Linked DNA regions of Caenorhabditis elegans. The protein of the gene in region 1 purifies or fractionates together with the protein of each later gene. This does not show direct contact. Each region holds a gene or a part of one and is shown on either strand. Other genes may lie near its edges. The genes, in order: R05D3.9 and C05D9.3.

Evidence for each region.
Region 2: the proteins of R05D3.9 (region 1) and C05D9.3 fractionate together in Caenorhabditis elegans (co-fractionation; one large-scale study listed by BioGRID). This does not show direct contact.

The regions. Positions count from the first base shown.
Region 1 is NC_003281.10:8,357,183-8,372,569, reverse strand, and holds R05D3.9 (uncharacterized protein), read left to right. Parts: upstream 1-3,850; 5' UTR 3,851-3,878; coding exon 3,879-3,961; intron 3,962-4,562; coding exon 4,563-4,650; intron 4,651-4,698; coding exon 4,699-4,786; intron 4,787-4,904; coding exon 4,905-5,002; intron 5,003-5,048; coding exon 5,049-5,134; intron 5,135-5,180; coding exon 5,181-5,261; intron 5,262-5,678; coding exon 5,679-5,781; intron 5,782-5,834; coding exon 5,835-6,045; exon of another isoform or gene 6,046-6,231; coding exon of another isoform or gene 6,232-6,670; intron 6,671-6,725; coding exon of another isoform or gene 6,726-6,890; intron 6,891-6,937; coding exon of another isoform or gene 6,938-7,123; intron 7,124-7,172; coding exon of another isoform or gene 7,173-7,461; intron 7,462-7,540; coding exon of another isoform or gene 7,541-7,727; exon of another isoform or gene 7,728-7,728; intron 7,729-7,773; exon of another isoform or gene 7,774-7,924; intron 7,925-8,069; coding exon 8,070-8,138; intron 8,139-8,185; coding exon 8,186-8,345; intron 8,346-8,374; exon of another isoform or gene 8,375-8,393; coding exon 8,394-8,594; intron 8,595-9,230; coding exon 9,231-9,351; intron 9,352-9,393; and 7 more. Other genes in the region: lmbr-1 (LIMR family protein R05D3.2), read right to left, coding at 1-42, 91-300; Putative zinc finger protein R05D3.3, read right to left, coding at 6,232-6,670, 6,726-6,890, 6,938-7,123, 7,173-7,461, 7,541-7,727; rfp-1 (E3 ubiquitin-protein ligase bre-1), read right to left, coding at 10,482-10,560, 11,027-11,407, 11,457-11,845, 11,974-12,594, 12,686-12,811, 12,874-13,357, 13,407-13,546, 13,596-13,763 and 1 more; Putative RNA-binding protein R05D3.8, read left to right, coding at 14,306-14,428, 14,479-14,626, 14,676-14,971, 15,025-15,114, 15,236-15,334.
Region 2 is NC_003284.9:1,106,574-1,121,587, forward strand, and holds C05D9.3 (Integrin beta epidermal growth factor-like domain-containing protein), read left to right. Parts: upstream 1-5,342; coding exon 5,343-5,489; intron 5,490-6,149; coding exon 6,150-6,257; intron 6,258-6,375; coding exon 6,376-6,460; intron 6,461-6,520; coding exon 6,521-6,662; intron 6,663-6,707; coding exon 6,708-6,771; intron 6,772-7,609; coding exon 7,610-7,732; intron 7,733-7,839; coding exon 7,840-7,988; intron 7,989-8,654; coding exon 8,655-8,727; intron 8,728-8,808; coding exon 8,809-8,909; intron 8,910-9,015; coding exon 9,016-9,085; intron 9,086-9,515; coding exon 9,516-9,605; intron 9,606-9,677; coding exon 9,678-9,887; 3' UTR 9,888-10,278; downstream 10,279-15,014. Other genes in the region: C05D9.4 (uncharacterized protein), read left to right, coding at 1,494-1,548, 1,592-1,703, 1,984-2,050, 2,229-2,396, 3,388-3,537; C05D9.7 (uncharacterized protein), read right to left, coding at 10,774-10,961, 11,348-11,498, 11,892-12,005, 12,062-12,163, 12,585-12,716, 12,762-12,824.

The DNA.
Region 1 (15,387 bases):
ATATGCAAATAGATATAGTAACATGAATAGCCACATGCAGATCTGTAAGTTAGACATTTGAACATTTTCGCAAATAAAAATTAAGCTTACAATTTGTTGTCGAACATAATTGTGAAACTCCTTTTCCTTATCAACCATCTGTTGGAAATACGATTCCTCTGGTTCATCTGCTTCCAGTTCTTCGGCTTGCTGCATCACATATTTGTGTGTCCATTTGGCAAACTGCCAAGTTCCGCTGGCCACCACTGATACAGATGTGGCCAGCCAGCTGACACCCGCCTCCAGGGCGTATTGGGCCATTTGGTGTTATTAAATCTGTAAAAAGCAATAGAGAAATTTTTCATAATTCTTGCCAAATAAGAAATTGAAGGCACAATGAGAAATTGGGTATACCAGAAATTAAAAGAAGAAAGTGAAGGCGTTTTATTATATTCATGCACACATGTTCCTTGTCACAGAGGCACAGTTCGTTTTTAAAAAAATTTGGTATGCGAAGGAAGAGATAAATCGTATCACCTTATCAAAACATTCACAGTAGAAGCACGAAGACCTTATAAAGGGTCACTATGTTATCATTGATAGGGATGAAATTTAACAGATATAATTGAAAAGGACAAAGTTCAATTGTTGGAACCTACGAGTGGATAACCGAATAGAACTGGGAAGTCTCAAAAATCTCCCAGATTGTTCTCATCGGTTCGGTTAGAAACTTAGAAAAAAGATATCGGTGTTTGAAAGTTAGTTAGAAAGACACAAACACATGTGACATATTGAAAACAGGTTGCCGGAAATTGTCGTATTTCGTCCCGGTGGAGAAGCTCTTTGTTGTGGAGTCGAATTTCGGTAAATCTTTTTTTTACAATTTGAAAATAGATAGCGGCCAATAGAAAATTGGTTATGAGGTCAGAGTGTTTTTTGAGTGCGTTTTCTATTTCATTTCGGCGGGGACAATGTTACAACATGACCTCGTAAATTCGTCAAGTGAAAAGAAAAAACTTCAAGAACTCAACGTGTAAAGAGCATTTATAAAAGCGGTTAACTTATCAAAGCATTGAATCGAAATTATTGGAGGTTTTGGAAATTCTAAAATAATTGCTAAAAACAGTTTTGAAAAAAACATGCATTTTCATATGAAAAATTCGAAATTGATTAGCTATACAGGTGGTAAAGAGCGAGATAGTGAATTGAAACAAGGAGGAATTCTTTTTGTCTTCCTTTGACTAATTTACGGTTTCTTTCGCCACAAAAAGCATCCGAAACGCGAGAAAAATATATGTGTCAATAAAGATAATAGGTCGACGTTGACTTAAATTTCGCAAGTAAAAATTTCCAACTCCTGTGTGATTTTAGTGATTGCAAAGAAAAACAACGACATAAAAAGAAGGGTTCAAAGTGTAAAGGCTGCGTGAAAAGAGAGTGAGGCGAAATGTGAAATGGGTAATCAAGATTAGATAAGAGACACTGAAAAGGAAACAGAAACTGGTTTTTTCACGTGAAAATTCGAAAAAAAAAAAACAAAATAAAAACATAAAAATGGATCAGAACCATGCACGGACGCTCAGTGGTGCAACCACTCTTACAATTTGAACGCGTCGAAGAAGAAAACCGAGAGAGCATGAGGAAATAAGAGACATAGAAAGACAAAGAGCGTGTCGATTCGAATCGAGATGGCTGGTTGGAGGAGGAGGAAACACGCACTCTCACGTGCTGAAAGGTTGTATTATTGATCAGTTGAGCTCTAATTTATGGTATTTAATTATTTTTGCGTTAAAAATGATGTCAATTCAAGAGAACAGAAAACAATGTCAACATTGTTTTTTTTTCGAAACCATAAGATGGTTCATTTCACAACTTTAGAAAAATCGAAATTATTCGCATAGCAATAACTAAAACTTATGTTTTACACCTGTATAGACAGTCTTAAACCCTAAAGTCTTAAAGGCCTATAGGAAGCCAATATCACTTCTGCACGCAAGGAAAACAGTGTTTCTGTTAAAAATCACGCTTTAGCAATTTTCTAAATTTAATAAATCTATTATAATAGTTTTTGTGCTTTATAACATTGGAACCCCCAAGAAAACGAAAGAAATAACTGTTAAAATTAATAAACTAAAAAAAATTTAAGTACTCCGAGAGGAGTTCACAAAGGCTGCGTGGTGAGACCTATGCAGCTAGAGAGCACGTCGAATGGAGAGACCGAGAGGAGAGTGGGGGCGCGAGTTTGAATTTGAAAGTGATTTGCATTTATTATTAAATACAAAAATTAAAAAAAAACTGTATTCAATGTTACACAAAGATTTCGATGAATATTCAGAAAATAATCTCTAGATTTCTGACGGCAAACATCAAAGGAAAATAAGAATTTGAATCAGAAGGTTTGACAGGAAAGTAAGAACAAAAGCTTATTGACCAATCAATCAAACTTACAAATTCCAAATCAACCAAGCTATTTCCCGAAACGTCAGTTTTTGCGAAGTTTTTTTTTTCCGAAATATCCATTCAATAAATGTTTACCAAAGTGTCAATGAATTGAACGCAAAGAAAGCAGAGACACCCACGTGTCTCTTTTTCTATTTTCAACTTGAAAAAAGTTTATGATCTAAGGAACAGGTGTTACATATTTGATATCTTAAATTTTGCAGAAAACGAGAAAAATTGCATTTTGAAAAAAAAAGTTATTTTCATTCAGATCACGAGATGTGTATGAAATTAACGTCAACGGAAGTAGTAATGCGAATCAGAGAATGTTGTATAACTGAATAGAATGATAGGAAGATTTATTCTGATAATTCATGTGTTGTGATGATAAATAAATAAGCTTACCAAAACGCAAAAACAATTATTTTATCCCGAAATATCTGCGAATCCATGGGAATTCGTTGCAAAAAAAATAATTGAAAACGTTTGAGATATAATAAAAGCGAGAAAATGTGTGTGAAAATTTGCAGCTGATAGACTGAGGCTTATGGAATTGGGAAGTTTGGAACTAATTTTTCAAAAAAAGTATGATAGTCGTGAAGATTTCGAAAACGGAAACAAATCAAAATATTTTATCTAACACTTACATAATTAAGTAATATTAAATCTTCCAAAGCTGAGATTTAGTCCAGCGTTACACAGAATTCTGAGAATACGTACATACATATTGCGCAACATATTTGCCGCGCAAAATATCTCATAACGAAAACTACAGTAACTCGTTGAATGACTACTGTAGCGTTTGTTTCGATTTATGGAAGTAAATTTTCATAATGGATAAAATTTTAAAAGAAAACACAAAAAAAGAATACAAAGCATTACGAAAAATGAAAAATTGAATATCGCTGTCAGAATTCGAACAGAAATTCATTTCGAAAATGGAGATCCCGTGAATCGACACCAGTGCTACAGTAGTCATATAAAGAATAAATGTAGTTTTCGCAACGAGATATTCTATTCGTCAGGTATGTTTTCCAATGTGCATTCTCAGAATGTAGTGGTCAAGTAATAGATTTTCATTTACATTTCAAAAAACATAGCACCTTACAGTACTCCAATAACCCTTGAGTAACAGTGTAGTTCAAAGCGAAAGACCTTGTAGACTTAGGTACTTTTGTGCCTGCTTTCAGCACTGCTCTCTCAAAATTCTCCACACAATAAAAACACCAAGAGCTTTTCCGTTATCATCCCAGTCAATCAGAAAAATCCAATCAATTTCCATAACCCTTCTCCTCCTCACACCACACAAACACACACTTTACCATCGTTCCCGTCATCAAAAGAAGGTCTTCTTTTCTCCGGTTTCTCTCGGTATCTCATTCCCAAGGACATCTCTCGACTTCGTTTGCCCATTCATTCTTACTTCTTATTGTCATTCTTGACATCTATATTCTTTAAAAATGTGGCCGTCGAATAGGGGTCCTACATTGTTTCAATATTCAATCAGGTGTCTAGGATTTGTGGCATTTATCGGAGTTGTAAGGTAAATTTTTGAGGGAAAGGAGACATCAAGAAACTGTCTCAACTAGTGACCTAGATTCAATAAGTTGATGGATTAGTTGAAGAGTGCCCCGGTTCACAATATAAATTCTAGATTGCTTCAATTGGAATATTTTTAGAAAACCTGATAGTAGCTGAAAATTACAGTTATATGGCTCAACGGAGTTGAGTATTCAATCAAAATTATTCTTTTGATTAATTGTCAAGTTTGGTGGGCAAGAAAACTTTTCTAAACCGCTCCTATGGTGCTAAAATGACCAAATAACAGTAAAACATTTCAAAACTTTGTTGAAATGTTTTTTTTTTTCGAAAATGAGGAAACTCAACGTTACTGTAATAATTTTGAAGCCGGCTAAAAATTTTATGTTTCAATGTTGATACCAGTTTTAAAACTTTAGCATTCTGGAGGTTTGAAAATCACTCAAAAAACCCACATTTTGAATATTTTGGTAATTTAGCAAAACTTTGACTGAAATTTTTGAACAGTCTAAAAAAGTTTTTATTTATGATATTTAGTCGTTGTGGACGTTTATTTAGAGCCGTAATATTTTTCATTCAAATGTTCTTAGATGACATATTTTCAGATGTCACTGTCCTCATATGATGGGAGTTAAACCTCCGGGACCACCATCTGGACCAAGCCCGCCTGGTAAATTTCCTGATGGAGATGAGGTGATCTACTTTTGAAATTTTTTAAAAATACTTTTGTATTTATTATAGGGATGGGATTACGATGAGACAGCTGCACCAGGAATTGTTCCAGAGCCACATTTTATTCAATCTACGTATATTTATAGATCTCCAAATGGTAAGTATTGCGGTACAATTTTTTCCGAAATAATATTTATTCCTTGATAATAAAACTAAATACACTTTACTTCAAAAAGCCCAAAAATAGAATAATAATTAATTGTTTATAATTCCAGTTCAAGAGAAGACATTTTCTTCGAGAGTGGTGAATGTACTGAAAGATATCCGAACAAGGCTTGCTAAATCTGCAAGACTTACATTGGAAAATGAGAACGTAAGCTGAATTTTAAATATTAGTAATTTCAAGGTGAAACTTCCAGATTGAATGCTCTTCTCCTACAGATCACTATAGGTGTCAGGAATATCCTGCTTCAGGAACTTGGAATTATTTGATTGTTGAAGATCAGTAAGTTCTTAAGCTTTTTCTAAAAACCCAAATCTTAAAATTCCAGACAAAAAGGGGCAGTTACGTATACATTCGATCGAAAGTTCAATGAGAAAAATGATGGAACTATTGAAATGGCACTTTTGGAGTGAGTTTCCAATTAATTTTATCTGGAATATGAGTTTTTATTTGTTTTATTTGTTTCCAAATATCAACTGCTCTTTCACATTTTTCAGTGAATTTTTTTTTCTAATTTGACAGAAAAAAGATCTTGAAGGGTACGCGTAGGTAGTAGGTAGGCATGTAGGCATCAGGAGGGAAGCACACTCATATGTAGCTAGGCACCTGGAAATGGGACAGAGACCTAACCAGACAGGAAGGCGCCCAGACAGGTGTGTAGGTAGGACGTGCCTGGTCCACCTTAATTTCCAAATTAAACAGGCACCCGTGCCTTAAGAAAAAAGGCTGTAGACACGTACGATAAAATGATATACCATTTTCCGAGAGCAGCCAAAAATCATTGTCATTTTGATTTTTCATTCATATAAATAGAAAATAATTCCAGTGCATTTTCTCGTCATTCTCCATCATCTCTAATTGCATTTGCATCATCTGAAGCTGAAAAAGAAGTTGGATATATAAGAGCTTTAACAGTTCAGGAAATGGATGTATGTTTCTCACTTTCCAAACTACAGTAGTATTAACGTCTTACACATTTCAGTCTTTGAGTGGAAAACGAAGCCATCAAAAAATCTCAATGGAAAAATTTGGTCCAAACGAGCTTATACTTCTGGAGCCTGCACTTCTAGAGGTTCGAACTGGCGCGAATCTCAAATTGAACTCAGATTCCTTGAGAAGAATCGATTCAACAAAAGAATTTGATAAACTTCTGGAGGAGTTCAGAAATGTGTTCATTTTATTCTGGAATAGCAGTGAGTCATTTTTTGATACAATATTTATTTGAACAATGGGAGGTGAAATTGGAAAAACAAAAAGTTGTCCAATATGGAAATGATACAAGAAGAGATTGGGGAATGTGTGGCCTTTCATATGGGAGTATTGAAGACTACAGGATGAATTTAAAAGAAAAATAGACAAAAATTTAGAAATAAATGGTTTCAGACTTCGGCTAGTTCCTTCTTGATCTCACTGGGCCCAGGTTCATTTGAATCAGTGATCGAACTTCCAGCTCCAACCATCTTCATCAAATCCTCTAAATTGATCTCAAATCCTTCCTCCAGTTTTATCGACATCGTCGGAACACCTCCTTCTTCGTCTTTCACAATTTTCAACTCGGTCTGCTTGGCTACATCGGTATCGTAGATTTTCTTGAGAACCTTTGTACGTTGTCTTCGATGATAGTTGGCAACTTTCGGACGGACTTGGCTCACAGACTCGATCACCACAACCTTATTTTCAGCTTCTTCTGCAAGCATCATTTGGAGAGCTTTCTCGTCAAAGTCCTTGTTTTCTCCGAAATCACCATCTTTCTTTTCTTGCATTGTGTCGATGATTTTACGTGTTCTAGTCACACATTCTTCAGCAAGGCGATCAACTCTGAAAATTTTGGACTGTAGTAGTACGGTAGATTTCTTGAAATTTCATGACTTACTCCATGGCAACATGAAGATCCACATCACTAAGCATCACAACTCCTTCAACACCTTTGTGCTGAGTTCTGATGTGTTGATCTACAAAGATTTCACGACGTCTGGCATAGCTGCACGCGGAGCACTTGTATGGACGGTAGTTCAGATGAGCTTCGATGTGATTCTTTCTGGAATATTCAGATAATTAATCGAATCACTTTCGGGAAAAACGAACCGATTTCTCGAACAAATCCATTCGTTGCAAATCACACACAACACGTTCTTGTATCTTCCGAATGCAGCTTCACGAAGTTGCTGAATCTCAGATGTAGGACCAGAAGCAGATGGCGAAGCAGACTGTGCAGCAACAACTGGAAGCATCACAAATCTGGGCACGGGCTTCATGCTAGTACATGAACCTCTGGAATGAAATATTGAGGTTTTTTTAGTCTTTCGGTAGTTTAACACACCTATTTTGTGGCACAGCATCTTCTCCGAGTGCCGAACTCAACGTCACAGAGGAATCACCGGATCCTGCATTTTGCGCCGGCTCCGAGACTGGTTCCCGTTTGACAGCTTTTATGATAGAGTGAAACTTCTGCTGCTGCTTGAATGGAGATTTTGGAGCATTCAGAGGACCGATTGGGTTCAGAGAATTAGGTGGCATTGGAAGAGCAGCGACGTAGTTGCCAAGAGTGTTCGCCAGATTTTCATCTCCACCAGCTTGGATGTATCCGTGGAGAAATTGCCGGAACGCAGCTGAAAATTGAAGCATATTTATTTTAGATTTCAAGGAAAGTTATCAAAATATTTAATTTGATGACAAAAAACAACAAACCCAAAAGAGTCAGATAGTTCAGAGCATGAGGCGAAGTCGGTGGTGGGTTGGGTGCAGTCGAAATCATGGATGCAAGGAGTGGAGATGAAGTCTCAAGTGGTTCTTGTTTCACTGTAGTAGCTGTCTTCTTCACTTCCAACGATGATTCCATTTCGATTAGACGTTTTCTCATATTTGGAGACTCCATTCTGGAAACACAATTTCAGTTAGCTTTTGCCGAACAAACCATAAACCTTTAGAAGACGTAAGCAGTTCTGGATCACTGTGTTCTGGATAAACAAAACTCGAACTGATTTATCTGGAACAGTTTGTCTTCGGCACTTGGATGACCCTACTTGAACTTTCGACCTCATGGTGACCTATTTGACGTGGTGACCCGCAGAACTGAAAATTAAGATATAGACAGGTGCAGAGAAATTGGATTCTTCATGCGACGTGATATTGAACATTTAGCACGTGAAAGTTTTGAATATATTTTTCAAAGTTAAATATATACAAGGTTTTTTTTAAGTGTTAACCAAATTTTCAGATAGAATGGTCAGTCTTCATACATTCAATCTCTGGTCACGAGTAGCCGACAAGATAAAGATTTCTGAAGGTTTTCCATAGAAATTTAGAGAAAAATGGCAATTTTATAACTTGCAGACACTCTTTTGGCACATGTTCCCTGTCATGACAACGCTGATTTTTGTCAGGGCCTCAACTCTGAAGACTATCATACTGTTGTCTCGTATAGAAATGGGCAGAATACTGGAAAAACCGAGAATATTGGGGACGTGGAGTTTTACGAAAATTGGGTTGAATTGTGAGTAAATTTTTAAATTTAGATATTACTTTAGATAAATCCTTCCAGATCACTATCCGGAGCGATTCAAAGACTTCCAAATGAATCGAAGCTTTCCGAGTTTAAGAAAGGAATTGTTGGAGGGAAGAAGCGATCATCAGTGACAATTGGAGTATTCCCATCTGATCAGGATACATCTTTTCAACACTTTCAAATTGCCGCTGAGAAGTTATCTGGAAAATATTATGTAGCTTATTTTATAAACGAAAAGTAAGTTGGTTTAAGATAGTAGTCGCGATACGATCAAATATATTTTAAATAAACCTTTAAGGTTTTGTTGGTTTTTTTTAATCGAAAATTATTGTTTCGAAGAACAATAATAACTGAATAATTGAAAAAATCGCGTTTTGTGTAATTTTAGATGTTATTGAACAATCAATTGGTTTGAAGTGTGTTCATAGACTTTCAATTGCCCCTAGCACAATTAAAAAAGCAGAAAAAATCATGAGAAAATATGAAAATAACTTAAAATTATGCTGAAAAAACAAATTGACAAATTAATTATTTGATTATCCGAGAGGAGTACACACGAAGGGCGCTTATTTGCGCGCGGAATTTAAAATAGTTTTTTTTCCGAAACTTCGAAAACCTATATGTATCCTGAATAACGAAATTTGTCTAATGTTTCGATTATAAAAAAACGTCTTGCCAGAGAATATATAATGTCTTAAAGAAATTTGCAATTTGGAAATGTGGAAATGTGGAAAAGCAGTAAAAAACGAGAATAACGTGCACTACCGTACTCCTCAAAGGCGCACATTCCTTTTCGTAGCCTTCAAAAAACAATTTCCGATCGTGTCGAGACCATTTTTTTCCAGCTGAGTAATGATAATAATCTTTTTTCAGCTCAAAACCGGCCATAACCACATATCGTCATGCTGAAAAACAAAAAAGAACGGATTATTCAGGAAAATTTGATCCAGCCACTTTGATGGAGTTTATCACAAAATCTTCGATTCCTTCAATTGTATGTTTCTATTTTATATCAAGAGAAAATTTCAAGTTTTAGATTGGTATTTCAAATGGTTTCACAACGGATCTACTGTTTCATCAAAAACGTCCAATTCTTATTCAAATTGGCGGCGCAGGGGAATTTGAGCCTTTCTCGAAGTTGTCTGCTCGGCAAGATGCTCGGAAAACCTATATTTTCACAAAAATTGATGGGGAAAGTGAGATGATTAAGAAAACCAAAAAAGCATTGGGAGTTGGGGAGAACGAATCAATAATTGTGTTTTTGAACAAGGATCGAGTGCATCGAATTCCAATTTCAAAGCCTAAATGCCCTGATCATCTTCAGAAAATTCTCCAGATGATTATTACATCTGAAGCGGATCGTGAGTTTTTCCAGATACTTAGCCATACGCGAAGTTTCGTGATTTTTGTTGAATTTAACAAAGAATTCATCGTGCCGAGACCGAAATTACAGAAGTTCTCTCAACAAAAGAGCCACATCCATTAAGATATCTTCAAGTTGAAAAAGTGAACGAAGTATTCGGATTCGAGGAGACTCTTGTTCTTCCAGATCACACACTTTTCCTGGATTCCGATGTAAGTAAAAGTTTTGTTTCCAGTCAAATAAAATCTCTTGAATTTTCAGCCATTCTCTCGTCATCCACCAATTACAGAGGGTGGTGGTGGTGGTTGCCCATTTATGCAAGGAGGTGGAGCACCAACAGAATCTAGTCAACATTCAGAACTTTGATATATTATCATCATGCATAATTTTTGAAACAAGAATAACTATTACTATACATTTTTAATAAAATGAGAAAAAACATAAGAATTTACAACTTCAAAATTATATCAATATCAACTTCAACAAAGTTCATAAACTTGTGGATGTGTGCGTGCCGTGGCATCATCACGGAGATTCAGAGTATCAGAACAGAATTCAAATAATATAAGCCGACTAACTATAGAGATAGTGATTCAATAACTTGATAGGATGAGACAGTTTAAGATAGAAGCTTAGAAATTGCGCTGTGAGAGGTGGGGGGAGGGGAAGGGACCAAAACAGAGAAAACGGAGGACAGAAACCCATGTTGAACTGAGAGATTGAGAAAATGAGGAAATTTACTAAATAATTTAATGGCGGTTCTAGATGAAAATACGATGGAAGTCATTGGCTCCGAAGTTGCTGTTGCATTTCGGGCATTTCCGTTGACGAGTGTCGTACCTGGAATTTTTTGAATCATAAGCTAGAAATGCGAGATATCGCTTGAATATGTATTTTTCGTTTTACTCCGACGCGAAATTTCAAGCTGAAAATACACGACAAAATGTTTTGTTAAATGGGAAAAGGTGTGCGTCTTCAAAGAGTACTGTAGTCTCAGACTTTTGTTTTAGCGGAATTTTCATAACTAGTTGCACTTTTTTATTAGTTAAAAGATTGTGAGAAATAGGTATTGTAATACCAAATTCTCACAATTTGTTAAAATTCGGGTTTTTTTTAAATTTCATATTCAGTTGACATTTTTTATCGAGAAACTATGAAAAATTGATGAAAATTTCGTAGCATCAAGAGTTTGAAATTACAGTACTCTCTAAAGACGCGTGTCGATACATTTTTTTTAATTAAAAATTGAAAATTTTTGCGTCTAGGTCAAACCAACCAATTTTAGTGTTTGAAAAATGAAACTAACATAGTCTTAATGCAAGTTTCACAGAATAAATGATAGCATTTGAGCATAATACAATCCTTTGGCCTCGTTTTACATGATGGACAAGTCAGTGTTTCTTTCATTTGTCGATTCGCTTCCTCGAGGACTTGATCACCACTTTGAGCCGGTACAGACTCATTTCGTTTTACTCGTTCATATTTAATTCGAAGCGTCTCAAGTTCCTCTTCAGCACGTTGTCTCTTGAATTTAAAATCTTCGATTTCACGTGCCTTGGCAGCGTATAATTCTTGAATTTGCTTCATTTGACCTTCACATCGATCCGCTTTAATTTGGTTTTCGTCTCGTGACATTCCAACTTCTTGAATGTTCTTTCTATGTTGTTCCATCAAGTTTGTGAGACGTCTAAAAAATGATATTTTAATTTATGGATTTCTTAACATTCAAAACTAACGTTAATTCGGCAGATTTGAACTGAACTGATTCCGACAGTTTAGTTACCAACTCTTCATTTGCTTTCTTCTCAAATTCGTGCATTTTTGCTATTTGAGCATCTGTTTGTGCTTTACTTTCCAAACAAGACAATTTTTCACGCAATCGATTAAATGTCTGATTCTGAATCATTCGATCATTCATCATTTTCAGATTTCGATCCTCCTGTTCCCGCTTCTCAATGTACAGTTGAGCATTCCGTTCTTGTTCTTCTTCTACAGCTGTTCCAATGGCTTCTAACTCATCAGATATGCATTCTTCGTCATTAGTCAGCATTTCATTGGTCTTACGAAGAGTCTCCAATTCGGACAATTTATCAGCAATTTGACGATTGACTTCTTTCTGTAAATTCTCACACGGGATTGTAGAGATATGAACAGACGCAGAAATAATGTTTTAGAGTTTACTGAAAGTACCAAATAACGAAAGGACGTGTACTTTGAAAACACATTTTTGTCAAATAAGGTACAATGACTTACTTCGACTTGTTTCTGCTTCTCCTGTTTTTCCATTGCTCCCAGTCGTTTTACTTCTTTACACAAAGATTCGTATTCTTGACGAATTTTATTAACATCTTCCGGTGGAGCATTACTAACGTCTTCAAGAGGAACAAGTAGACATTTATCCTGGGCTTCTTTCAGTGAAGTTAACTCAGACTTGAGAGTGTTGATATCTTTTTGAGATTGCTTATCCTTTTCGCGCAAACGAATTTTCTCTGATTTTAACGATCTATTCATAGATCGTAGAGTATTCAAAGTTGCTTTCATTTCATCCCACTCGCTTTGCTTCACCGTCTTATTATATTCTTCCTTAACAGTTTCGAATTCGCAGCGTAGAACTTCACTGTCATGAGATACTTTGTAGAAAGAATTGTGAATATCCGATTGACATTGAATTTCCTTCAGCGTCTTCTGATGTTCTTCAGACATTAGCATTGCACGAGCTTCCTTTGCACTGCGGAAAGCATCACGTTCTGTTGTGATATCTTCAAGATCTTTGCTGACTCGCTCGTATTCTTTAATTGCTAATGAGTAGTACTTTTTAAGATTCTTGTATTCCTCCGAGTTGACAATTGAATCCACAGAGAAGAAAGTTTGTGTCTGCAACTATTTCAGAGGTAATAGAAGAAATTCGGGTAAAAATTTCATATTTTTGTAATGGATAAAAATTAATATATAGTCAAAACGGTACCTCTAGTCTTAGCTTGCTATTTTCCTGTGTTAATGTTTGAACTTTTTTATTCATCTCCTCGAGATCTTGAAGGCGTCGTGATGCAATGGATTCCTGTTCATCTCGTTCAAGACGCAGATTTTCGATCTGAAATTATTTTTTAAAAATGCGTTATTCATTTCGATTGATAAAAAATTTTTAAATCTCACTTCTTTTGCAGCTGTTTCACTTGGTGGAATATCTGGAGCTGATATCTTCTTCTCAGTAGCATTTGTTGTACCCGACGAAGACGGTGTCGCCCCTCCGTTCCCTCCAGACTGTCCCTCCGAGACGAGGGTGGCTAGTTTGTACTCAAATTTGTTAGCAAGACGCATATGTTTGTCAGTTTCAAATCGGGCATCTTCCAATTGATGTTCTAATTCTTGAACTCTGTTCTCTTGTACAGAAAGCTTATCCGTTAGAATACGCTTTTTCCGTTCCAAATTGTAACAATCGCTTTGAACTTTGGTAACTTCGGATTGAAGCTTTTCATTTTGTATAGCTAAACTTGCTGCTTTGGCTGTAAGCTCCTTATGGACACCATTTGGATTGAAGGTAGGAGAATCGATCAATGTTTTTAGTTTATCGATGAAAATGGTGGATTCGTGAGCCCGATCGTGGCGCGCTTTAGCATACGATACGAATGCATTCCGTCTATAGAAATATGTAAATTAAGAGTGAATTTTAATAATTTAAAACTCACAAATTCTGCTTTGCCTGATCAAAGAACTTGTTATATGTTTCATTAGTCATTCCAAGAACGTCTATACCAGTTGGTGCAGTGTCTCCTCCGATGTATTCTCCAAACTCATTCTTAGTTTGTGTACATATGTATTTCTCAATCTGAAAAAGAAAATAACTAATTGCAATCTGAAAATAAGTAAAAACGTACATCTGAGAACATATTATAAACCTTCAGAAAGTTGCTTTCGTCTGTCTGCTGCCGCCTCTTGGACCGTTCATTTTCTTTTTCCAATTCGGCTATTCGCTTATTTTTGTACAACAATTGCTGCTTTAATTTAGATGTCTGATAAACTACGGCACGAGCTCTTATATCGTTCTGAAATCGTTAGGGATTATTAATAGTATCCTCGATTTTAAATGAAAGACATACCACGTTGCTAACAGCGGGCATTCGGACCGGTTCGAATTGAATTTTGCGTCGTTTTTGTTGTCCATCGTCACTCGGGCTACTTGCATAATTTTCTCCTCCTATACCTTCATTACTTCTTTTCATCATACCTGAAATCAATACGTTTCTAATATTGTATACAAAATGTTAAAGAGATGGTAGAAAGCAGGGAAAACAAGGAAAAGATTTTAAACATATTAACGGATACTTAATCAATGTTTTTGAACAGATTTGATGACAATTTTATTGTTTTTGGAGTGCAAAAAAGGTGATTACAAAAAGATTTCCAAAGAGACATTTCAAATGGCACTCTTTTCGTTGCGAGACCTGAGTGAGAGAGTGTGTGACTACGGTCAAGAGACGGAAATGGGGTAGATTTACGACCGAACAGCATTTACGAGACTTGCGGGACTTTCGAATTCTTAATTCGTTTTTTTCTCCTCAAATTTCGGTCTTTCGTCCAAATAACAATGGTAAAAAGGATTTTTGTGCAAGGATTGGATAGCTATACAACGGAATCGACAGTTAAAAAATATTTTGAACAATTTGGAACTTTATACGAGTGCATTCTACCTCCTCCTCCTAGATATTCGGTACAGAAACTCTTGTTCTGATAGAAAATGTCATTATTTTCATTTTATAGGTATTCGACAATGGACCAGACGAGGAGAAAATTTCAACACGATCATCGATTCGATATGAGCCTGTGGAAAATGATGATGTATTAGATGACGAGCTCGATGTCGAACGATACGATGTTGAAAAACACGGCGATTTTGAGAGTTACATGAGTACGTAAGTTCGAAAGCTTTTGAAAAAAGTAAAAATGCCGAGTTCCAGAAAAAATTGGAGAAGGTGAAGCATTTATCAAAGAGCCGAGAAAGACTAGCGCAGGCTACGCCTACATCACTTTCGTTGATTCGAACGGATATTCAAATTGCATGAAATCAGATATTCATGAAATCGATCGAGCCAAATGCACTGTTGAGCCAGCAAAAGATGAAAATGATAAGAAGTTGAAAGTAGAATCAAAACGACTTTTTGTTTCTTATTTTCCACTAGACAGATTAACTTCAAAAGAACTGAAAATGAATTTTGGAGCCTACGGAAAAATCACAGATGTAGAATTTGTCAGTGTAAGTTTTTAATTATTTGTATGTTTATTTCATGTTAATTTTTATTGTTGCAGGATTCAGAAGGGCCGCTTCACTTCTGCATTATAACTTTCGCAGACTCCAGATCTGTTGATGTTCTTCTAACCAAGTCAATATACATCAGGGTGAGAATATAGAATGCTTTCAAAAAAAGATGCGACTAATTCTTCAACAAACAATATCAGGCGTAGTCATCAGGACTTGATTGCAACCTCGTATTATAACGCGTTATGAAACATTTTTCAGGATGTTCTGATGTTCACCCGACGTGCTGTATTGAAGGAGTCCGTTAAAATAGCGGAACATAAGATAAAAGAGCAGGAACAACAAAACCTCGTGCAACTAGTAAGTTTTATAAAGTTTAAATAAATTATCTTGTAAAACGTGTTTTAAAATAT
Region 2 (15,014 bases), on another chromosome or scaffold:
GCCAGCACTGTACTACGTGATGACCTAATTTTCAACTATTCAGCTACAAAATCAGATAGCTCAAAGTCGAAAATATATACCCCTCTTTTTTCAAAATTGCAAGCAAATTCACTAACGAAATATAAAAGTTTATTGGAATTAGAAGTGTCAACTGTAAATGCCACGTGGCAACCTCAGATTGAATCGGATGTTTCAAAATTCGAAAGTCCATAACCAAAAGTCGACGCACCTGAGTTATCCGAATTGTAAGTACATTACAAACTGAAATATATAGTTTTGTCTAAATCTTACGGAAACTGCCTCCTGCTGACCTCAATTTCAAAACTACAACTCCAGCAATTAGGTTAAAATGTAGTTCACAAAATGTACAACATTTTGTTACTTGACAATTTTTCTGTATCTCTAAAAAGAAGTGAGATACACTATCCAGAAAGTGACCATCTTTTCCCCCTCGAGCCCCCAACAGCTTCTGGATTTATATATTTTATTTAAAACTCAAAAACCGCAGGGCGTCGTGGCGGGCGTCTGTAACCTAGCCGGGGGCTGTATTCAGGGGGAGTTGACATCAAACCCTGTCTTTCTTTCATGATGTCATTACTAAACAAACTAAATTTTCTTAAGTGGAGCTTAACTCCCAAAAAAAAAATTTTTTTTTAATTTTGCGCGCGCGTGCACGTGGCATGGCCTCTTCGACCTTCAAAAATTTAATGCCCTATATCTCAGCTTAAATTAGCGATAGAAACCTGAAAATTTATCTATAAAGGTTTTCGACTCTGGGCTTTCAGAATTTTAAATGACATTTTAAAAATTAGGTTACCACGTGGCAATTTTTTTAAAAATTTCTTTGCCTTTTTTGCAAGTGCGCATTTAGGCCATAAGCGGCTACTAGCTAGAAAAAGCGATAAATTTCTGAAAATTTATGTGACTAGGTTTTAGACTGTGACCTTTCAGAATTTGAACATTTAAAATTGAAGTCATCGCGTGAAAATGTTGTTTAACTCGTATACATAGCTTTGTATTTCCCTGCTGAAAGTATGTAGTCATCTTAAAAATCAGACATATAGGGTTTCAACAATGAGTTCTCAGATTCTGATGTAAGCAACTTTAGTTTATACCTGTCCAATTTCTCAATCAAATAAAAATGTAAAAAAGAATCACGTGGAACCTCTCAAGCTGAAGTATTCCGCCTGAACCAACCATTTTTTTATGTACAACTCTGTCTCCAAACCTCTCAAAACCCTTCAAACTTTTAGCTCCTTGATTTCTTTGTAAATCTATTCCACCTCGATAATCCATCTTTGTAACCTCTCTCAATCCTCATTTAGACGTCAAGGATACCCCCTACCATTAGCCGCCCTCCGAGGAAAGGAACAAGTATAATTGTACAAGCCTAATGTCACCCCATTTGATGGACATGTGTGTACTTGTTCCATTAGCCACCTACCTTTTTTCATACTTTTCCATTTCAACTATTCAATCTATGTAGACTACCTATGGATAAATTTCATTCTCTGCTAGTAGCAATATTTCTGTTGAGAGCTTTGGAAGGTAAATAATATGAAAGTTATTCAAAATCAATTAATCCGTTCAGAAACGTATTCAACGTATCATGGAAATATCTATGGAATCCAGAAGTTGAAGGGCAACAAAACTGGAAAGTCGGTTTATCAACATTTTTGGTTTAAAAGGCATCATGTGCATTTGTGAGTTCACGTATTAATTTTAATTTTTACATTTAAAGTTAGGTGCTTTGACTGTAAGATACAAGTTGTCAGAATTTGAAAAATGTGGTGTGAATAGAAGTTGTCACGTGGCATTGGCAGCTGACATTTTAGATTATTAAAAGAAACTTAAAAATAGAAATAAAACATTATTGTCATTAATTTTGAAAAAAAATGTGAACAAACCCTTTAATTTTTATCTCAACAAGTAATCAATTTCTTTGCCTAAACTGCATTTTTGTGTGAAAATATTATGTTGCAGAAGACAACGGTACCCAAAAACGCTAATGTTTGCAAGGATGTCGATGAGCCAATGCTCCAAGAAAAAAGTAATATTTATAAAAAAAATTAATCATGACAGGTACAGACAGTCAGAAAACGCAAGTCCAGATAGGTTTTTTTTGAAATTTGTTTCAAGATTTGAACTATAAACTTTCAAATTTATATGTTCCCCCAATCTTAAACAACTTTCAACAGATTAATTTAAAAAAAAACCCCCCTTTTCAGAACATCAAAATCATACAAGTAAAACGAATTGGTGGTGATTACCCATATGGTCCAAAACTGTCATCAATCTCTGAAAACCAGATATGCCGCCCCACAACAAGCCGCTCCTCCTCACCTCATTTTTCTTCCATCGCTTTTTCAACTTCCCGACAACTCAACTTTCCCAAGGTCCGTTTGTTGGTGTGTTGCATTTCTTTTTATCAATCGAGGGCTTTCCGTGCACTATATGTTGTAATACTTTGTTGAAGACCCCCTGTGTACGTTGGGTACACCAGTTGGGGAATGAGATAGACAGTGATTGATTACTTGATGCTTTGTGGTTTGTCGGGCGGGGATTGAGTCAGTAGATCCAAAGAGGAGAAAACAAATATTGTTGCTCGGGTACATGAAATTAGCAACATAGTTTCATGGTGTATCGACATGAATTGAATTTTTTTTTTAAACTTGCTAACTGAAATTTTCTAAAAATGCTTTTGCCTTTAGTTTTGTAATTGAAAAAAAACTGATATGTATTGTTAAAACTCGCAAGGGTCACCGTTGAGCAAATTTATAAGCTGGTGATTTTTCTGTCTAGAAATGCAATAAATCTTTTATTTTGAAAATAAAAATAAATAGAAAATATTATGGTTTTTTTAAGGCGAGACCTATGTACCCAAATTTGTATGTACCTAAATTTGATTTTTTTTTTCAAACCAAAATATAAACTGCAATTAAATGAAATTGATCAGTGTAAATTTTATTAATTAGTACATATAGTACAGTATAGTGTATAATATAATATGCTATAAGATAGTATAGTATAAGTTAAATGTGCTTTAAGTTTCAAATCAAATAGATTTCAAAATTGTATTCACCTAAAGTCTAACCTCTGTTTTGAAATATTTCAAAAGTGAAAATTTTTCCACTGTGAAATTCAGTGGCAATGATTCTTTAGTAATGCAAATTTGTTAGAAACAGATATACAGTTTTTTTTTATGAAAAAAATATTTACTCGTTTTCAGGTCTTTTTGGAATTGCTATGCTGTATAGAAACACTCCTAAATTTTCAAGTAGAAATTGTAAAAGAAATTTCAAATTAACTGTTCCACGTTGCAACTAGAGCTCTCTAGAAAAAATCCTTTACACTATAAATTGGAAATAACTCTAAAATACTTTTCAGAAATCTTCGAAATCTCTGAACCAAGTTCATATCAACCTGGCAAAGCGAAAACAGTGGAAACGAAACAAGGCGTGGTGTACTCATTGTGAGTCATACTGGAAGATGAAGATTAATTCGAAACAGTTGAAGTCTAGATACCCGTGCTGTTGAATTATTTTGAAATATTTTTTTATTTTAAATAAATGCCTATTTTCCGCGTGAAATTATAATTTTTACTGCAAAACGACAACCTGTGCTCATTTCTTGGATTTATACTGAAAATTTGAGTTTCAGGTTGTGCTTGAACTTTGTAGATTTTATCAACATTTAAACATCCAAACTTCTGGAAAGCCCAGTTGGTCAGTTTTATTGGCGTTTTAATTACTGTAAATTGATACTTGATAGATGCGCAGACAATTCAACTATAAAAATATTTCGAAGACATTTCTCACAAGTTTCTTACAAGTACACCAATTTGTAAATGTAGTTGTCTTCAGGAAACCCCATCAAATCCAGGATACACATATAATTTGCTCTCCGAGCACTGACCTTTTCTCCCGATAACTATACAACTTGCTCCTCCCCCTTGCAAACTCTCAGAAGTTGCCCGCCGCGGTGCAAAAAAAACAACAACAACCTTCGATATAATATCAATTCTCTCCTCTTCTCGCACATTTTATAATCCGCCGAAACTCGGAAACACACAGTTTTTATGAGTAGTGGGGGGATTTGGGACTTTAGGTCACATAACAGCTGCTCTTTTATACACATTCCGATGCTCTTTTTTCGAAGGAACTGACTTTTTTTTGGCGAATGAAATTTGTATCAAAACATTTGATATAGTGAAGATACTAAACATTTTTTGAAGTTTCAAAGTTCCGTCTTCAAAACAAAAAACAAAGCAAAAAAAAAGTTCAGTTGGTTTTGGGTGTGCACCTAGTCTCAACGCCATATGACAGAATGTAGCGTCTGCTGCTGCTGGCAGTTACGGCTCTGGCACGCCAGATGCCTACGCCTGTTGTGTTTCATCTCATACCTCTGTACTCGAGGTTTTACCCCCCTCCTACCCCCACTGTTTATTACTTTGCTCGACATGTGCTGTTCTCAAGTTATTTGGCATCCCTTAGCATAACCCACCTCCTCACGAACTTTTTTTTTACTTTTTTTTTCCCCATTTAGTTAACTTTATTGTTTAGTTTTTTCAAAAGTTGTTATCTGATTTTTCATGTTTTTCACTTCATTCCTTTATTCCGTTTAAAAATTCTAGCTTGTGAAATTTTCATGATTCCACCTAACACCTCAAAACGTATACCAACTCGTTGAATTCTTAATTTTCATATTTAACTCCAAATTGAAAGAGTTTTCTCACTTCCAGAAATTGCTAAAAATCTCAGTTCCATATTGATTTTACGCGATTTCTAGAATTAGAGCAACTTTCTGAATACAACTTTCATAACTTTCGTTATCCTTTTTTTAGAGGCTTAAACCTATTTTAACGTTATAATGTAACTGTTTAGTTTGTAAATAATGTCTACGTAAATTTATAATTTGTATTTTTTGTTGTCTGGTTTTGAAATATCAAACCCCAAATGTTAGATTTGAGAAAGCCCGTTTAATTTTGAATTTTTCTATTGTGAGTACTTTTTCAGTTCTTTAATTTTTCATTTGAATCCCCAAAAAACTCAATTACTGGGCTTGAATTCATCTAGAATCTCCACATTTTTTCGAAAACACCGTAATTTTCTGGTAAAGTTGACCCAATTTCGATAACTTTTTTTCAGATGAAAATGAAAATTGAGCCAAAAAAAAACCCTACTACTCCCGCCCTTTCTATATTGCTCTGAAACCGAGAACATTCTGGAAATCTGGTTAATTTTACAGTCCCAAATTTAATTTTTTTACTTCAAAAACCATGTTATTTTTAATATGCACAATTTCAAGTCCACCATCTCTTTTTTTTCAGAAATCATCACAAAATGAAGTCCCGGATTTTTTTTATAACATTACTGACAATAGTTGCCGCTCAAGAATCCGCAGATCAGTTATGCAGTAGTTTCGATGCCCAGCAGAGCTGTGGACAGTGTATCAAAGCACATGCAGAGTGTGCATGGTGTATTGATCCCGTATGTTTACTTTAAAGTGCAGGGGTTTTGAGAGGGGGTACTAAAAAGTTGGACGTCTTAGATTTCTGACCTTTTTGTAAAATTTGATATCTAGCTAGTTACTTTGAGTTAGTTCAAAAGATTTTCCAACTAAAGAATTATTTAAAATCGTTTTCTATTTGTATAGTTCATTCCTTTTAACTGCAAATTTTCAAAAATTTTAAAACTGGGTTTAAATTTAAATTTAAATTTTATTTTTATTAATTTTAAATTTTAATTTTAAAGCGCCACTCTACATGCACCTGAAAAATTGTAGAATATCACATTACAAATGTTATCTTAGTTTGTAATTATTTGGAAAAAACCGAAGAATTAAATTATAGGTGCTTTATGATGCTTTATGATGCTTACAATAATCGTGCAGTTACAAATTCAGAAAAATTATAAGTGCATATGCACGTGGTGTCAGGCTGTCCTATTATGGTTTGATCTACAAAACAAGCGGGAATTTTTTGTCAAAACAACTGTTACGTCAGCAAGCTCTTAGCCATGCGAAATCAGTTGAGAAGTCTGCGTCTTTTCTCTTGCATTTTTTGTAGATCTATGTAGATCAAACCAAAATGGGACACTCTGACACCACGTGCATATGTGAATACTTTTGTTTCGCAAAAAAACTTTCAGCACTCTTCCCTTACAAACCGATGCCAGCTGAAATCCAAGTTTACCAATGAGACATGCACGCCGCACTTGGTGTATTCTCCACAAACCGCTCAGGTCAAAATTCAACAAGTAAGTGTTACAGTGGTATAGATCCTCGCTGTTTAACCTTTAAAATGTTACAATTTTTGAAAGTAAAACAGCGAGGAGGCATACCCATTGGAGCCTAATTTTCCAACTTTTTCTCCAGAACTTACCACTTGAAACCAAACAGCATGATGGTAAAACCATTGTTCGACAACAGCCACAAGCGGTTTCCGTCCGTCTAATGCCATGTAAGACTTGCGTTTTATTTTTTAAATACGTAACATTTTCGATAATTTGCAACTTTGTAGCTCACTCCGCCACCGTTTCTTTCAAGTACCTGCATCAAACTGACCCAAGCAGACGGAGCACCGAACCCGAGACTATGGAAATTCAGACTTCTGATGTTAAAGATACTCCACTGCAATTGAAATTTTTCATTGTCTGTGATGGGTAGGTGAAGATTTCGAAAAACAATTTTTATAGGAATCATTTCAGAGAGTTGAAGGAGACCAAGTCGTGCCGTGTGCAGAATAATCAAATCGTTGAATTTAAGATTGAAGTGAGTCTTTTTTTGTTGAAAATTTTGTTTGATCTCCAAAACTGGCAAAAAAAAGTTGTGGATTGCTCGTCACTGATATGGAATCTGCCTCGATTTTTCGAAAACATAAATTTCTCCTAAAAATTGAATTTTTTATCAAAATCTGAAGGCAGTGACCTAGGCAGGTGCCTCTTTTTGAATTATTGGTCGTATGTTTTCAATTTTGATGGTAAACTTGTGAAAAAATGGGGACAGCGGTTTTTTGACATGCTAAATCCGAATATAAGGTTCTATGGTAATCATTTAGTTTTCCAATATTACCAAATTTGAGAGGGGTTACCATAGCTGCAAGGCAAATTAAATTTAACAAAGGGTCGCCCATCACTTGGTTTTTCAAATTTTAATTTTAAAAAGCCCCGCACGTGTTTTCAGCTTGACCATTCGGTGTTATTTGTGCAAACACCGTCACGCGCAAATGTAGACATTTTTGCACGTGCGGTTGTGAAATTCCTCTTGGCGAATTCAAATATTTTTCCCGCCTTTTTTGAAAATTTTCGAGGCGTTGGTCTAGCTGAATAAACGTGTCCTGTGAAACACAATAAAAAAGGGCATACCTTATAGACACACCCCTAGTAACCAAATTTGCTATTCAGGTACGCTAGCAGAGACCAAAATCTGCTACTGAAAAAAGCAAAAAAGTCGCTAACCAACAAGACAAGTAAGCAAAAAGTACAGAGAGCTGATCGACACTAACCATGGTTCTAATAATTTTTTTTCTGACCAAAAGTGCTACGCCTAGACAAGCTACAAATTTTAAATATTGATCCACGTTTTATTTCCGAAATTTCAAAATTTTCAGGTTCTCGTCAACTCGTGTTCCAGTACCGGCGATATTACACTATCAGTAGGTATTCTTAGACAACGCACAATTGCTGGCCTCTACGTCACCACGATTTGCGGGTGTGAATGCGAAAAGCATCCGGTAAGATGATCCCAGCCACTTAGCACTTTTTACGAAATTTGAAACTTTTCTCTTTTGTTTCCTAATCACTGGCAATCATCAAAAAAGAATAATATTTTTTTTCGCAGGAAATCAATTCTCGATTGTGCCATCAAAACGGACATCTCGTCTGCGGACAATGTGTTTGTGATCAGTCACGTGGTGGGGATAAATGTGAATGTCCGCTTGCTTCGCATGGAGTTTCCAAGGCTTCTGAATTGGAGGACAAGTGCAGATTGTAAGATTTTTGAAATTACAGAGCGTGAGAAACTAAAGTTCTCAATAATACAGTCAACATTAGATGTTTTTAGCAAAGACTAGTCTGCCAAATTTGACTTTTTTTTGAATTAGGGAAATACATAAAGTTGCTGAGAATTACACTGACAATATTTACACTAAATGCAATAACCATATTGAGAGAGCACGTGGTGTCAGAGTGTCTCATTTCGGTTTGATTTACGTAGATCTACAAAAAAATACGGGAATTGAGACGCAGAGTTCTCAACTGATTTCGAATGGCTAAGATCGTGTTGACGTCACCTGTTTGGGCAACAAATTCTTGCATTTTTTGTAGATCGAACCGTAATGGTACAGATCAGAAACTGATCAAACTGTAATCCTTTGAACTCTACTTGCAAATAAATGTTTCCTGGCAAAACAATGTCAAGCTGGGTGATTTGTATCGTTGAACTCGGGGCAGCAAAAATGACGAGTTCTGACCATATTTTGATAACCGAACTACCAAAGTTAGGTTGTTGTATTATATACCAATGACGACCTGTTTGATCCTTTGTGCTAAGGTAGCCTTGCTTAGCCTTATAGTTTCGGAGTTCTGGAACTCTATATCGGGGACAAAAACCTTCAGAAGTAGAGTCCTCTCAAAACCAATCGAGTATTTTTTCAGCAATTCATCTTCCCCAGTATGCAGTGCATCTGGAAAATGCAAGTGTGGACAATGCCAATGCAACAAACCTACTGTAAGTGGTGTTACCCTCATAAAAATAACTATACAAAATTTTGTGTTGTTTTGAAATTTAATATCTTGTTATACATCATAGGTGACCGGCAAGTTTTGTCAATGCGACAACGACAGCTGCCCGTTGGCGGTCAATGGAAAAGTGTGCTCTGGAAACGGAGTGTGCGACTGCGGAGTTTGCAAGTAAGTGGTCGTAGTAATAATAACATTTGAGTGAACAAAAAATAGAACAATGAAATTCGTATATGTTACATCACAATCAGCTTTACAAATTCGTACTTTTTGCCAGATGCGAGATGGGATGGGAACGTGATGATTGCTCGTGCTCGACGGCATCCAACAATTGTGTGGACAATGGGGTAGGTGGTTGGGGGTCTGAAAATGTGAAGGCCAGGGTGCATGCATGGAAACTAGTTTATTAGTATGTCACCTTATTTGTCTTTAAAAGAATAAACTAGCTTGATATTGCCTGTGAATTTGAGTTTTCTGGAAAAGTGCAAATTGATACTGCATGTTGTTCAAAAGCTTGGAAAAACATCTCAAAAATATTTCTAATTAATCATCCAGCAGTGTATAAATTGTAATTCATTAATAGATAAGAAAATGGCTGCAAGTCTAACAATATATATTTTGTATTGTGAAAACTTTTTGACCTTAACATTCTTAAATTTATTTTTTCTAGGCGGTGTTTTTTTTCTGGGATACTTTGCATATTCAAAATTCTATAACACAGGTCCTCTTTGCATTGCATGAATTCACTTTAAACCTCATTCTTTTTACATTTTGAAGGAACTGTGCTCGAATAATGGGCGGTGTGAATGCAATCGTTGTGTTTGTAATATGGGGAAAACTGGGGCCTTCTGTGGATCTGACGAAAAGGTGAACTTTGTAGAGCTAGATAACGTCTTCTAATTGTACGGCTCAAAATCACAATGAATTTAACATTTTCAGACACCAGCCCCAGAGGAGAAGGATAAGCCAGAATCGGTGCCGGAGGAGCCAGAAGCCACTGAAAAACCAGACGACATGCCGTCTGACAGTGATCTTGAGAAGGAACTGGATGAGTCATCGAGTGCGAAGGAAGAGCAAACTTCCTCCAGTGGAGTTGTGTCGCGAGTTTGTGTATTGTTAACCTTTTTTCTTCTTGTTCTGAATTTTTAAGTAAAGCAATGAGCTCGATTTTCGATTTCTAGATTGCTCTTTCATCCTCTCTCGGTTTTCGAAAGTTGAACCCCACTTCTTTACACATGTTTCTAATGATGCATGTGTATTATAGGTACTTAATTTAATTTGGAAATTGCTGTAAAAAAGTGTACCGCTTTTTAAATGTGATTTTCAGGTTTAAGAGAAACCTTTTTTAGCCTGAAAAGTTAAAATAATTTAGTTTTACTTTCAAAATGCGTGCCTATAATACACAAGTTTTTTTTACCTTATATCTACATTTCTCAATATGGTTTATTTCTAAACAGTCAACTTGTCATACTTGGTAAAATCATCCGTTAATTTATTCAGAGTATCAAATTGTACTTGATATGCTTTTGGATAAAAGTTTTATTTTCTCTCAGTTTGAATTCAAAACATATGGAAAAGGGGGGTGTTTTTATTTTTATTTTTGTAGGTGTTAGAGGTGAAGCTTGCAATTTGTAAATTGCAAAAAAAATTCTGGAACTTCAAACCAATAAAAAAATAAATCTTCGTTTTTCAGTAAATTTAAACTCTGAGATTTAGGCACTATAAAAATTTCAGAAGCAAAACTCAACTCTGAATATCTGAAAATTGAGCCCGAAATATTTTCAGATACAGATAGATAGGTTTTTTCAGAAACGGATATTTTCATATTTTTCCTCGTATTTTTCTCCTTTTTGGCGATCTTCAAACATACTCTGCTAAAATATTATATTATGAAATTTATTGGAAGAAAAAATAATACATTTATCAGACCAGTATTTGACAATGTGACGGAAAGCATTAGAATTAATATAATATGAATTATTATTTCGAGATGCTCAAAATATTACACCAGAATTCAAATATTACTCCTGGTCCCTTACGCACAATAAAACTCGTCTCCAGCAAACCGTGCCTGGGACGTGCCAACGTGTTGCTGATAACGTTTGTACCGAACTTGGTCAGCGATTGACATTGTGCAGTGGAATGCCACACGGCAGACGTAGACGGAGACTGAGAGGAATGTTAGTGAGAGGCACCAGCCGACAATGCACAATTGGAACGTGGCTGGAAATAAAGTTTACTTGAATACTAGAAAAATTTACCATGTGAAATGGAACTGCTTTGCATTCTTCTTTTTTATCAAATAAAGTGTTGCCTTTGCACTTCATTTAAAAAATTTAGGTTATGGTGCATCGATAAGTCCAGTGTTTGAGCTCGATTGAAAATAATTGAAATTTAGTGATTTACTTGTGCTCCTAAACTCCTAAACGTTGACAGTGTATTTCTGCTTGCTTTGGGTTTACGAAAAACTGGCCAATTGACATGATACTTCTTATTTATTTTATAATGATTTAGTGGGAAATTACTTCTTGATTTTTTGATATTTTTATGTGCGAATCAAAATTTAGATTTAAGTACAGTTTCCGATCAAGTTTTCAACAATCACTTACCATCTACCAAATCCAGCTTGAAATGTGTAGAAACAAGTTGTGCACCCATTTTTGTGCACTGCAGGAAAAACATGAAGAGCTCACTTTCCGGCTTGATAAGCGCATAGGTAAAAGCCGTCAAGAAGACGGCACTGACAAATGTTTCAAGAGTCTGAAAACGGAAATTGGTTGCAGAATTGCTTTTAAAATACATTGACGTATGAATGTTCGTAACCCCTCGTGGGAACGATTTGAGCCGCTTTCACGTGGCGTCAGGCTGTCCCATTACGAATTAATCTACAAAACATGCGGGAAATTTTCCCCAAAAATGAGAAGTTTGCGTCTACATTCCAGAAATTCTCGTAGATCTACGTAGATCAAACCGAAATGGGATAGCCTGACACCACGTGTGATTTATTATTAATCCACGAAATAAAATTTTGAGCCACTAAAGACAAGACCAGCAGAAAATATTTTCAAAGTGATCCGAGTACGCGACTTGTACAAGTTTTATGAAAACAATTTTGAGTCGCTACGAACACTTTTAATTTCTTCAAAAACTCACTCTTAAAACAACGAATGGAATGCAGAAAAATGGCTGCTGGCGGATGATACCAATGTGCATCATGAGACTTGTCAGCACAATTCCACCCATTACTGCCGAGACGTATAGGATAAACTGAAAACATTTACGGGTTAAAATTTCACATTGGAATCAAAATAACTATGCTTTACCTTGTTTCTGATCCCATTGTAATACATAAAGGCATTGAAAGCAATCACAATAATGGCAAGGGCACAGTAGATGAAGGAAATACAATGGGCAGATGAGGACTCCTAAATTTCTGATTATTAAGTTGAAAGTTCAATCAGGGAATTTGCTCCGAACTTTGAATACCACAAATTTATAACCAGATCAACATCATATGAGTGACCTTCAAAGGGAAGGGAAAAAATGACATAAAATTGATTAATTCTCTTGCGGTTTTAATTATAGGCGCGTCGGCCTTTTATGTACCCAAATTAACAAATAAGAGCAGATGGGTAGAAAAAGGAAACATCAATTTTTTATGTCTTCTCTTGGTATTCGGCAGAAAATTTGTAAGAAACCAACATGCAAAGTAGCAAAGTAACGGAAAAAACCGACTCCCTATTTCTATGATAGAAAAAAATTTCAACATTTTTACGCGGAATCTATCGAGTTTTCGTTCCGATTATTCATTTGAAGTTATCCGTTTTTTTTTTCAAAAATCACTACCTCTTTGCCAGATCCCCGCTGACTCTTGGCAGATGTTCCTTGTTCTGGCTCTCTTCTCATCGGCGCCGACGACGGATTGTACTCCTGGCCGCTATTGTTTTTCGGCTCAAATCCTCCGTAGTAGTCATCTCTCTGAAATTGAATTATCAATGTTTGCAAGACATCGTTTGAAACTACCTGTGAATATGTGGAGTATGTGTAGTAGTCTGCAGTGAGGCAAGGTGCTGATGGTCTTGTCATTTTTGGGTCTGAAAATGAAGGTTAGAAATGAAGGGGTACAGAAAAAAGAAGAAAGAAAAGAAAAAAATTGCAACGACACTATCATTAAATTTAGAACTTTTTACATAGAATGATCCTAACTCGTAACAACTTAACTGTAAAAATTATATTAATAAATATTTTGTCAGTTGAAATGGTCTGACTGAACTAATGGGACAGCTACGGTAAATTGACAGCACTATGGCTCAATTTTTCGTGATATTTAACTTTTGATTTTTGGGCATACAGATAAGTTACTCTCGAAATTTATCAATCGATCCTTGGACTTTTTTGTTCGGCAGAGGCTGGCGGAGTTTACAAGCGTACGACGAGGTTTAACTTTTTTTACAGTTTTATAAATGGGACATAGATGAATATTTCGAATGCTAAATGCAAAAAGAATCAGCAAAAAGCTCACAGACCTGTCATTTTCTGCCGAAAAACGTCGTTTAAGGATCGATTGCTAAATTTTGGCAGTAATTTTGGGCACCGTTATTAAAAATATTTGTTAAAAGTAAGAAAAAGTATATTATTTCAAAAGTGAGCAAAACATGTTGTCTATTTCAAATGAGAATATTAAAAATTAATTAAAAGGTGCAAGTTAAAGAAGGCTGTAAAAAAATTAGCGTATGTCAGATCTATGTAAAAGTTGAATTATTAGTAAGACTGTATATTGTAGTACAGCTGGTGGTGTTCTTGAAAAAATTTTCAACATTGTTTTCGACTTTGTCAAAAGTTTTTAAAAGATGTCTTTGTAATGGCCAAAAATTTGGGATTTAAAATTGGTTTGAACTTGTGTTTGGTATTTTTTGAGACAAAAAATGATACAGGTAAATCAGGATTAATATAGAAGAATTACAACAAAAAAATCAGACCTCCCGTTCAGTTGAGCAACGGGAGACTAGGACCAAAAAAAAACGCGTGGTGTGCTCGGCGGGGCTCACACTCGTTCGGACCCCCGTCTCGTCGAGTGTGGGAGAAGAAGGATACTCAATGACAATAAACGGCGGGAAATGAAGGAGGAAGACGACGAGCAGTAGAGAGACAGACAGAGAGAGATGGAGAGGTTGACCTCTCCTTGCGAGTGACCAAGCGGGTCTCTAGGGCCGATCGATTCTCTGGACCAGAAAGATGACAGGGGAGAAGACATGGGCCAAACGACAATTGAATAATTGAGTTGATGAAAGCGAGAGGAGGGACATGACGCACATTTGTTCTTCGGCTCAGTGAGCATGATTGAATAATGATAGATCTCATTTATTTTTCATTTTGACAGGACAACCAACATGTTGAAATATAATCCTGGACGATTGCATGAGGAAACGGAAAACATGAGAAATAGGAGCAGCGAAATCAAAATGTTTCGAGATTATTTCTAAAACGAGAACTGACATTTTATATAACTCAAAACCTGAAAAAACTTCTGAATAGTGTACAAAATCATTTTAGACGTGTACGCTCAAAACACTGATCGAATTTATGTCTAGGCTAAGAAAACTAAATGTCTCTACCTTCACGCGGTGCCAGGCTGTCCCATCACAATTTGATCTACAAAAAATGCGGGAATTTTTCACCCAAAACATGTACGTCAGTTCTAAACGACGCGAAATCAGTTGAAACCACTGCGTCTCTTCTCCCGCATTTTCTAGATCTATGTAGATCAAGCCGAAATAAGACGCTCTGACACTACGTGTACCATGATTTTGAACATTTATTTGTTATTGTAGCTATAAACATACACATGGTTGCATACGAAAATTCAACTTATGAGAGTTTTAAGGCAGTAGATTGTTCTGTTTTCGGTCAAAAAAAATTCCCATTAACCAGAGATATCTAGAATTAATTTTAAAAAATTGTGAGTTTTAAAATACACTACCACCTAATTATAGGACATTGAAAGCTTTCGGACAAAAATTTGCGGGAGCAAAGCTCAACTTTAACATCAAAAGTTACTTTAAATCAATGTCTGAAATGCGTCAATTCTTTTTTCTCACTACAAATTTTCTCTCAAAAAAAAATTAAACGAACTAAAAATTTCTGGTAATTTAACTTTTTTGGTGCACATTTTCACGTTAGTAAAGCTGAAAAAAGGAGCCATTTTTGCAAGTTTTTGCATAAATTGTCAAAGTGTAAAAGTGTCATGTAGTAGTTTTTCATTAAAAATGCAATATA